2 linked regions of the Nothobranchius furzeri genome follow. The protein of the gene in region 1 interacts with the protein of each later gene in a pairwise test. Links are inferred from orthologs where the notes say so. Each region holds a gene or a part of one and is shown in the gene's direction. Other genes may lie near its edges.

What was found.
Region 2: the proteins of rabac1 (region 1) and trim32 interact in binary tests that used the Homo sapiens proteins (3 or more experiments, as listed by UniProt). The two-hybrid records come from large-scale screens. The link is inferred for Nothobranchius furzeri from reciprocal best matches to the Homo sapiens genes RABAC1 and TRIM32.

Annotation. Positions count from the first base shown.
Region 1 is NC_091745.1:74,795,232-74,799,214, reverse strand, and holds the start of rabac1 (prenylated Rab acceptor protein 1), read left to right. Parts: upstream 1-1,145; 5' UTR 1,146-1,280; intron 1,281-2,271; 5' UTR 2,272-2,285; coding exon 2,286-2,407; intron 2,408-2,484; coding exon 2,485-2,697; intron 2,698-2,840; coding exon 2,841-2,938; intron 2,939-3,145; coding exon 3,146-3,247; intron 3,248-3,366; coding exon 3,367-3,455; 3' UTR 3,456-3,983. UniProt on the Homo sapiens protein: General Rab protein regulator required for vesicle formation from the Golgi complex. May control vesicle docking and fusion by mediating the action of Rab GTPases to the SNARE complexes.
Region 2 is NC_091746.1:55,651,984-55,656,240, forward strand, and holds the start of trim32 (E3 ubiquitin-protein ligase TRIM32), read left to right. Parts: upstream 1-1,454; 5' UTR 1,455-2,404; intron 2,405-4,257. UniProt on the Homo sapiens protein: E3 ubiquitin ligase that plays a role in various biological processes including neural stem cell differentiation, innate immunity, inflammatory resonse and autophagy.

The DNA of each region.
Region 1 (3,983 bases):
TAAATAATCTATTAATACTGATTGTTATTGGAAATTAAACAAAAATATAAAATATAATTAGCTTTTTTGGGGAAAATGCAACTATTTACACCATATTTTCTGACATTATTTATACTTATAGTCGACTAAGTTATAATATATATGTGAGATTTTGAAAAAATATGACATAGAAATGTATTTTCCTCGGGAGTCAGGATATAAAATGTTAATGTACGTGAGCTCAGTGTGTGTGGAGCTGAACATTCCTGCCTTTTACCGTTTCAGCTTGACGCTCTCCACACACACGAACCAGTCAGCGGTGTCGTTTTTATCTTCAGGCAAAATGTGTATGAAAGCAGCTGGAGGCTCCTGAAACGACTCGTTCCTCTTGTGTTACGGTTTTACGCTTTATACGAGTTTATGTATCCTGTCACGGTTTCTGTGGAGAAAAAAACGGTCATTAAACACCCAGCCAGGACAGCTGTTGAGCTGAGTAAGCTAAAGAGCCGAATAAGCTAAAGCTAACGGAGCCAGCGTAGGCTAATATGCTGCTATGGCGCTGTGTCCCCCTTTAGTGCATTTGTAAAAAAAAACGCGTACATTTTGTTTTAGCATTGAAACGTTACTTTATTAATGACTAACAAAAACAGAACTGTCATAAACCCCAAGGTCTGAAGATTACATTTAACAACACGTAAAAACATTCCAACAGCTAAATTTGATAAGATAATTAATAGCGCCTCACCTTCTAATGTTTGTTTCCTTTCTTTCGCTGGCGGATCTAGCAACTTCCACAGTGCCGCGTGCCCAGTGACGGCAGCACCACAACACTCGTCTATCTACCAATCACAGCCTCTTTGTTTGTTACATGACGTAAGGTCACGTTTTTACCATTTCTGATCTGCAGTCAGTTTTTCGTGCTTGTGTGGTTTTGAGCAGCCACCGCAGAAAACAGGCAGCCGATCTCAGGTCGGCTTTTTCAACAGATGTGTTTTCGGCTGTTAAGAGAAAAAACTCCGTTTTTTGGATGAAGTAAAAATAATGCAAAAAAATAAATAAATAAAATAAAAAGTAATACAAATGAAAAGTTCCACCTGTGTTGTGTAACACAAAATTCGAAGTACTCTATGTAGCCAGTAGGTGGCCCTGCCTAGAGTCAGCGAAGTAGGAAGTTTTTTCTTCTTCTCCAGCAGCCACATCACTTCCGAGATCCAGAACAGCAACAAAAGACAGCTCAGGCTGTCTGGTGAAACTTCTGCCTACATTTTGGTGAATGATTTAAGGGTTTAGCATTTTGGCAGGTATGTTGTAATTTAAATTCTTATTTTAAAAACAAGTGAAAATTACGTTGACGTTAAATAAAATCCGGAAGTAGACGTAAACATTAGCTCATAAGCTAGCATTTTACATTTACATTCAGGTTTTAAATAGACTCGTCGTGAGTATAATATTTATATTTGAAATTGCTACTTCTAGACACTGTTGTTTGGTAACGAGAGTTTCTCGGTTATCCTGTTTATTTAGTGATGTGGCACTGGCCGGGCCCTGTTTCTACTTCTTCCTGTTTCTCTAACTAAGGATCGCCATTAAACTAGAAAGACATGTAATCATTAGACAGTGATTGTTTATACACTTGAGACCGTTTTAGATTATGACGTGTCAAATGTGGCGTTTTAAAATACGAAAAATCAAAAGTTAGCTCCATTGACATTTGCGATTATTGCTTTCAAAACAGCTTAAGAACCAGGGAGGTTTACTGGGAACACGAGGAATATGAAAGATAAAATAAGAAGTGTTGGGGTTAAAACATGTGTCTACAGTAGATCTGAAGGTCAATGAAAATGGTGCAGTTATAGAAACGACCATATGTCAAGTTTTCAGTCAATATATCTTTTGGAATCCGTTTTGTGTGTGTGTGTGTGTGTGTGTGTGTGTGTGTGTGTGTGTGTGTGTGTGTGTGTGTGTGTGCTAAAGTACCTTTTTTTAATTTCTCAAATTGTTTAATCTTTGGTATTTTGTCATCGATTCTAATTTAAAAAATAGGATTTAAATGTCCACTACACTACACTACACCAGTTTCAGAAATGTTTTATGCCTGAAGGATTTATAGACTAGAAATAAGGGGCTTCATAGGCAAAAAATAATAATAATAATACATCTACCAGAAAATGAGTGGAAACGCAACCAAAGTCTAAATAAGATGCTACACCGTTGCATCAAATAAAAATGAGTAAATCCAGGCTAATTGTTTTTGTAAAAGTTTAGTCCACATTCAATGTGATTCTGTTTCAGTCAACAGTCTCTAAATGTTATCTGGAGTGCCTAAAGGGGAGAACGTCATGGTGGACATGGACAGCAAAGCTGGAGATTTGTTCATCCCAGATGAGGCCCATCCAACCGGCACAGGGGGCATCGGAGTCCTCTCAAGGTGTGAACCACCATGCTTTCATATTTTTACCCTGGCTTTGGTGTGTTGATGATATTCTATTTTGTTTATTTTTATAGGCTCTGGCTTCCTAAAGGCATCTCGGCCAGCATGGCTAAGGAGTGGTTCGACAGGCGCAGGTTGTCCATCCGACCGTGGGCCAGCTTTGTAGACCAGCGCAAATTTTCAAAACCTCGCAACTTTGGAGAGTTGTGTCAGAGGGTGGTTAAAAATGTGGAAGTTTACAACAGCAACTATACCTTCATATTTCTGGGGCTCATCCTCTACTGCATGTAAGACCTAATCAAAGAGAGCTTCATTAAAACAAAAAATGTTAATTAGATCATCTGTGAGACTCTGGCTTCTAGAAAAATGTCGACAGTCTGCTTTAAATAGCTCCAGCCTGACAGCCCTGTTCATTTTTCCTGCTCCTCAGTATCAGCTCGCCCATGCTGCTGATTGCCTTAGCCGTGTATGCTGGTGCCTTCTACGCCATCCACCTTAAGTCTCTGGAGTCCAAACTGGTTGTTCTCGGTGAGTACATTTCCTACAAATCCATAATCTTTTCAAATTTACCAGATTTAGTTTTTTTTTTTTTTTAACATTCAAGGTCTATTTTTTTTTATTCTGTGTGAAACCTTTTAAATATGTCATCCATGCCTGTTCTGGATTTAACCCACGCTGCATTTAGCACCACAAACCCTATTTTTAATATTTTTCTTCATATTTCTTGTTTATCAGGCAGAGAACTGACAGTCCCACACCAGATGAGTCTGGCTGGAGCCGTTTCTCTGCCCGTTTTCTGGTTGGCAGGAGCCGGAGCCGCTGTGTTTTGGGTTCTCGGTAAGCTGAACATGATTTGTTCTTTCCTCGTAATCTTTTTCTGATGTTTCATCTTGATTAAGAACTAAAATCGTTTCTTTTTACATCCATTTTTCCTGTTCTGTGTGGTTTCCTGTCAGGAGCAACTCTGTTTGTGATCGGCTCTCATGCTGCGTTCCGAGAGTTGGAGGCGTCGGACCTGGATGAGCTCCTCATGGAGCCGGTCTAAAGAGCTGCTCCATGATCAGTCCTCGTTTTGACCCTTTGAGAATCTCCTTGAAGATTTTTTTATATCTATACATATATCCTTCTTCCTCATGTTTACCTTATGGCATTGTATTACGAATGCACCTTATGTTGCATGATAAATAACTGTTGTTACACAAATGCATAAATAATGAATTTCTTATTGCTTGAAGCACATTATTCGCCTTTATCTGCATATATTAAGCCTGCGATGCCTCTGGTTTGTGCCATGAAGCCTCTTGCTCTTTAGCGGAGCATCTGCGCTGAATTCCTAGCTGTGGGCATCCTGCAAAGTAAATTCTGACGGCACCATCCAAACTGCTGGTATCGACGCATGTCCGAAGGTCAAGTGCCATTTAGTTTTTTAATTAGTTTTGAACATTATGTGGCTTCTCTTTTTATTTATTTGATCAGCTCTGGTTCAGACATTCTGGTGGGAAAGGTCACGAAAAGCACATTTTAGAAATTCATTTGTAAATTATGCGTTCTGTGCTGAAACGTTGGAAGTGCA
Region 2 (4,257 bases), on another chromosome or scaffold:
ATGCTGTTCCTGTGATCTGCTATAGCCACTCCTCCAGTTTGGGGGTTACTGCCCCGATGACTACGGGCACCATAGATCTCTCTCTCTCTCTCTCTCTCTCTCTCTCTCTCTCTCTCTCTCTCTCTCTCTCTCTCTCTCTCTCTCTCTCTTCTCTCATATATATATATATATATATATATATATATATATATATATATATATACACACACTGTTTTTAAGTAGTTATATTAAGCGCTATATAAAACATATGTTTATTATTATTAGTATTATTATTATTTTACATATTGTTTTTATTTTCCTATTCATGTGTTCATGTGGAGTAGGTATAAGGAAGTGTCATGTGATGTATCTGTACACATGATCTCTGCAGCACTTTGTGGTGATGTTATTGCTATAATAAACAATTGTGCTGGATCAGATTCATTAAACCAATTTACCGTAAATCCTCTAATATTAGCCTGTATTTAATTAACTGCCAGTATCATATTTTGGCCGGTGTCGGAGTCGGCGGACGTGAATAATGGCTGTTTTTTTATTGTGGCTGGGTGGAATGTGGTAACAAGCAAGTACAGGGGGCGGTTGTGTCATCCGTCTCACTTTTGATTTGCCAGTGATAGACCGCGAGGGTAACTTTAACCGTGCGGAGACAAAGAGGAGGCAAAAATTTGATTTCAAGTTCAAAGAGAACGTGCTGATTATGCTGCAGAACACTCTGGGGAGCAGTAGCAGGGGTTGTATGAACTAGTCGACTTCACCGCTCTATAGTGACTTTTTATGCCTGTCATCGACTAGTCGCTGTCACGTGATAATGACCGGCAAGATGCAGTCCATGGAAAAGACAGCAGCCTGCTGTCAGCAGGTGACAAGCTCCTGCGCGTCGGGAGGCAACGCGCTGTGACAGAGCGTCAGTACTGACACCCACCGTAAAACGGACATTTAACCAAATTGTGACGTTTACCCTCTTGCGATTTAATCTTCCCCTCACCCCCATCCTAACCTTAACCAGCTTGCGCATGCAAAGCTCTGATTGTTGACGCGCTCCAGACATCTGTGTCCTGAGCACGGCCACAGTAACATTATCAAATCAGGTGTCGCCACCTCAAAAACTAATTTAACATGCGATTGTTCATGTCGGCTCATTTCCTTTTATGTTTTCTGTCTTTTATTCTTTTATTTGTGCCTGATGCGTTTCGCTGCTGTGGATCGGGGCGCATCACCTGTTTTGTCCTCGGTGATGCACCTAACTGATGTGGCTGGCGAGCAGCGCGCACTCCGCTGTTTTTGCGGTCCGTAGATCTTTTAGAACTGCAGTTCAAAGGTAACTCATAAGGTGAATAAATATGAACCCAGGTAGCAGTTTTTCTTTAGGATTGAGAGGAGATGCAGGAAGATAATAAACAGATACAGGACAGAAAAATAGTCAAATAAAAACAAGTTAGATTTGTACCTGGTGGTTGCAACAAACAGACACCATTGAAGGTAATCAGAAGTGAGGAACAGAAAATGAAATAATTATTTTAATGTTTAGAGCAGCAGGAACTCCGAGAGGCTGCAGGCGCATCAGTGAGTTTGCGGCCGCTGCGCAGGGGGAGGGGGGAGAGGGCTGAAGCAGAAACTACCGTTGTTAAAAGAAATGTGTTTAACTTTGAAAATGTGGGCACAATTTTAATTGTCAAAAACTCCAGCGAACCATTAGTTCATTTTGCTCAAATAGAAATTGAGCCCTGCCTCTAATTCTGGCCCTCCTTCCAATAAAGGCCTGGAGCTTGATGAGCTTGAGTCAAATATAGGCCCGGGCCTGTATTAGAGGATTTACGGTAACTATTTTTGAGACAGAATAGTTTAAATGATTCATACAAATAAAAATGCGAGACAAAACGACAAGTGTTTCAAACTGGTGTGTTGATAGCAATTTGAAATATTTTTCTTTTTCTGATGAAAACTAGACACATCTTCTAGGTTTTAAAAACATGATCCAAAGAATAACTGAATGAACATAATCTAGTAGATATATACTGACATCTAGTGGCCATTACCTGTAGTTACAAACCACCCTCATAAACACGTTCACAAAAAATGTTCAGGAAGCATTTTTCACCTCTGAGGGTCTCTTCCTCAGCTTAGTTTACCAGTTCAACCAAGTTAAACGGCATTCACTTTAATATGCAGTGAGTTGTATACTATTTTTGCCATCTGTTGGTAATAATATGCATAATTGACGCATCATGCGTTAAACACGTGTCCAGCACCAGCCAATCAGACAGAACAAACGGAGCTTTGCATCGTAATTTACGCCGTCTGCGTAGGAGGAGTCGTCAACGTCAACACTGCAGTTCTTCACTAGCAGCTACTGTAGCTGGCTGGCTGCACACCCAAAGTAATCTAAGCAAGCACCGGAGAAAAGGTAAGGATACGTAGCAGAAATGCCTACAAGGAAACGTTAAAAATGAACATTTTGTTTAAGTCATGGATGCATAATTAGCCCCGTGATTGAATGAAAATACATTCATTTGTCGCGTTGCGTTTAAGTACCACCATGACAACAACTGCTGTGATGTGAAGAGGCCTCGTTTTTATTCGCTCTTTGCATAAACTGCAAAATGTATTAGTGTTTAACAACAAAATAGTGGGAACGTTATTTAAGCCTGCCCAGTTGGTGCGTGACTAAATCACGTCGTTTATCGGTTAGATTTCAGAGAGCCTTACATTATTCGTTATTTAGCTTCACTTCACAGCAATATTTCATCTCAAACCAGACTCCAGATGCGACTTGTTTTCAGTTTATTTCCTTTTTATCGCTGAGTTTATCCTTTATTTACACCGTGACTTATTAGCTACCTGTGCTAATATCAATCATGAAAGTGCTAGCATAGCAACGTTAGATCTTGGCTGTGGTAAAATGATGAAATTTATTTAATATATCCATCAGCCTCAGCTCATACAAAACCAAAAGGTTTAACTATAAATACTGAATCATTAATCTTGATTAGTCGGCTGGCGTTCAGTTATTAAACTACCATTGATAGGACTTGTGGCTTTTAGCTTTATGTACATAAACTCATTGGAATCTTCCTTTTACAGAAACAACAGCCAATATTTGCTAAGTTTTTGTATGTACTACTTCTGATGTGAAATATGTATCATTTTAATTAGTTTTTACTCAAGTAACATCATCAAAGTAAGCTTTTCATTATAGATGTTGTGCTATGCGGTAATAATTTGTTAGTTTTATACAACACTCAGCTGTGAGGCATGGCAAATGTGGGACTAGGGCTGCTTGTTTATGGAAAAATAATAATAATAATTGCATCAAGTTTATTCAGGTAAATATTCCATCACGTTAGTTATCTACCAGTTTAATGGAAAAACACTCAAAATATCATGAATGTTGACTCATTTTTAATAAAAATCGATGTTTAAAAAATGTTTAATTTATTAAGGAACTTAAAAATCTGCCTGTAAATAATTAAAAATAAATTATTTCCCTTTTCTGAAGTGTCTCACATGGGAGTAAAGAAAGTCTTTTCTTTGGTTAAGTAGAAACTTTTTGCATATGAACTTTTACGTAAGTAAACTTTAGTTGTATTTACTAGGTTTGGCTGATTGATGATGTTCAGGAATTCGTTTTATCTGCTGTTTCGTAGTTTACATATTTAGTCGTTGGAAGTCCCCGAGGGTGCAACACAGTTAATTTGCTTATAATGTTGTTTTTAAATTTTTTGTTCAAAATAGTCTTTTTGAACCCCTGGCTGTCTTCTGCTGAAAAGTTGTCATACGAAAGTGAGCTAGCATAAGTGCTTTCTGCGTTGATGAGGCTCAACTTTCCAACGCTTACGTTTTCTTGCGTTTTCAATCAATTAAGTTCCAATAAAACTTACTTCAAAGTTGTTTTCTAAATTCATAAACATTGTTTATAGGTTTCATAGATATTGACAAAATATGCAAGTTTCAGCATTCCTTCTACAATTTTGTCTGCATTTTTCACATGAAGGATCTCAACATGAGCATGCTTGCAAAACATTGTGTCAAATAATTGTACTAGTTGTTTATGTCAACTAAATCATTTTGCGATTATTCAGATCCCAAATTACACATTCAATACATTGCATAGAAATGCATTATAATTTGTGTCATATAGTTCTTTTCCTTCCAGATTCAGTTTTTCTCAGTGCTTTAAATTTTTAATAATTCCACAATGAAAATGTAAAAGGTCTACATTTTCATCTAAGTCTAAGACAGACTTGTTTCTATTTTACA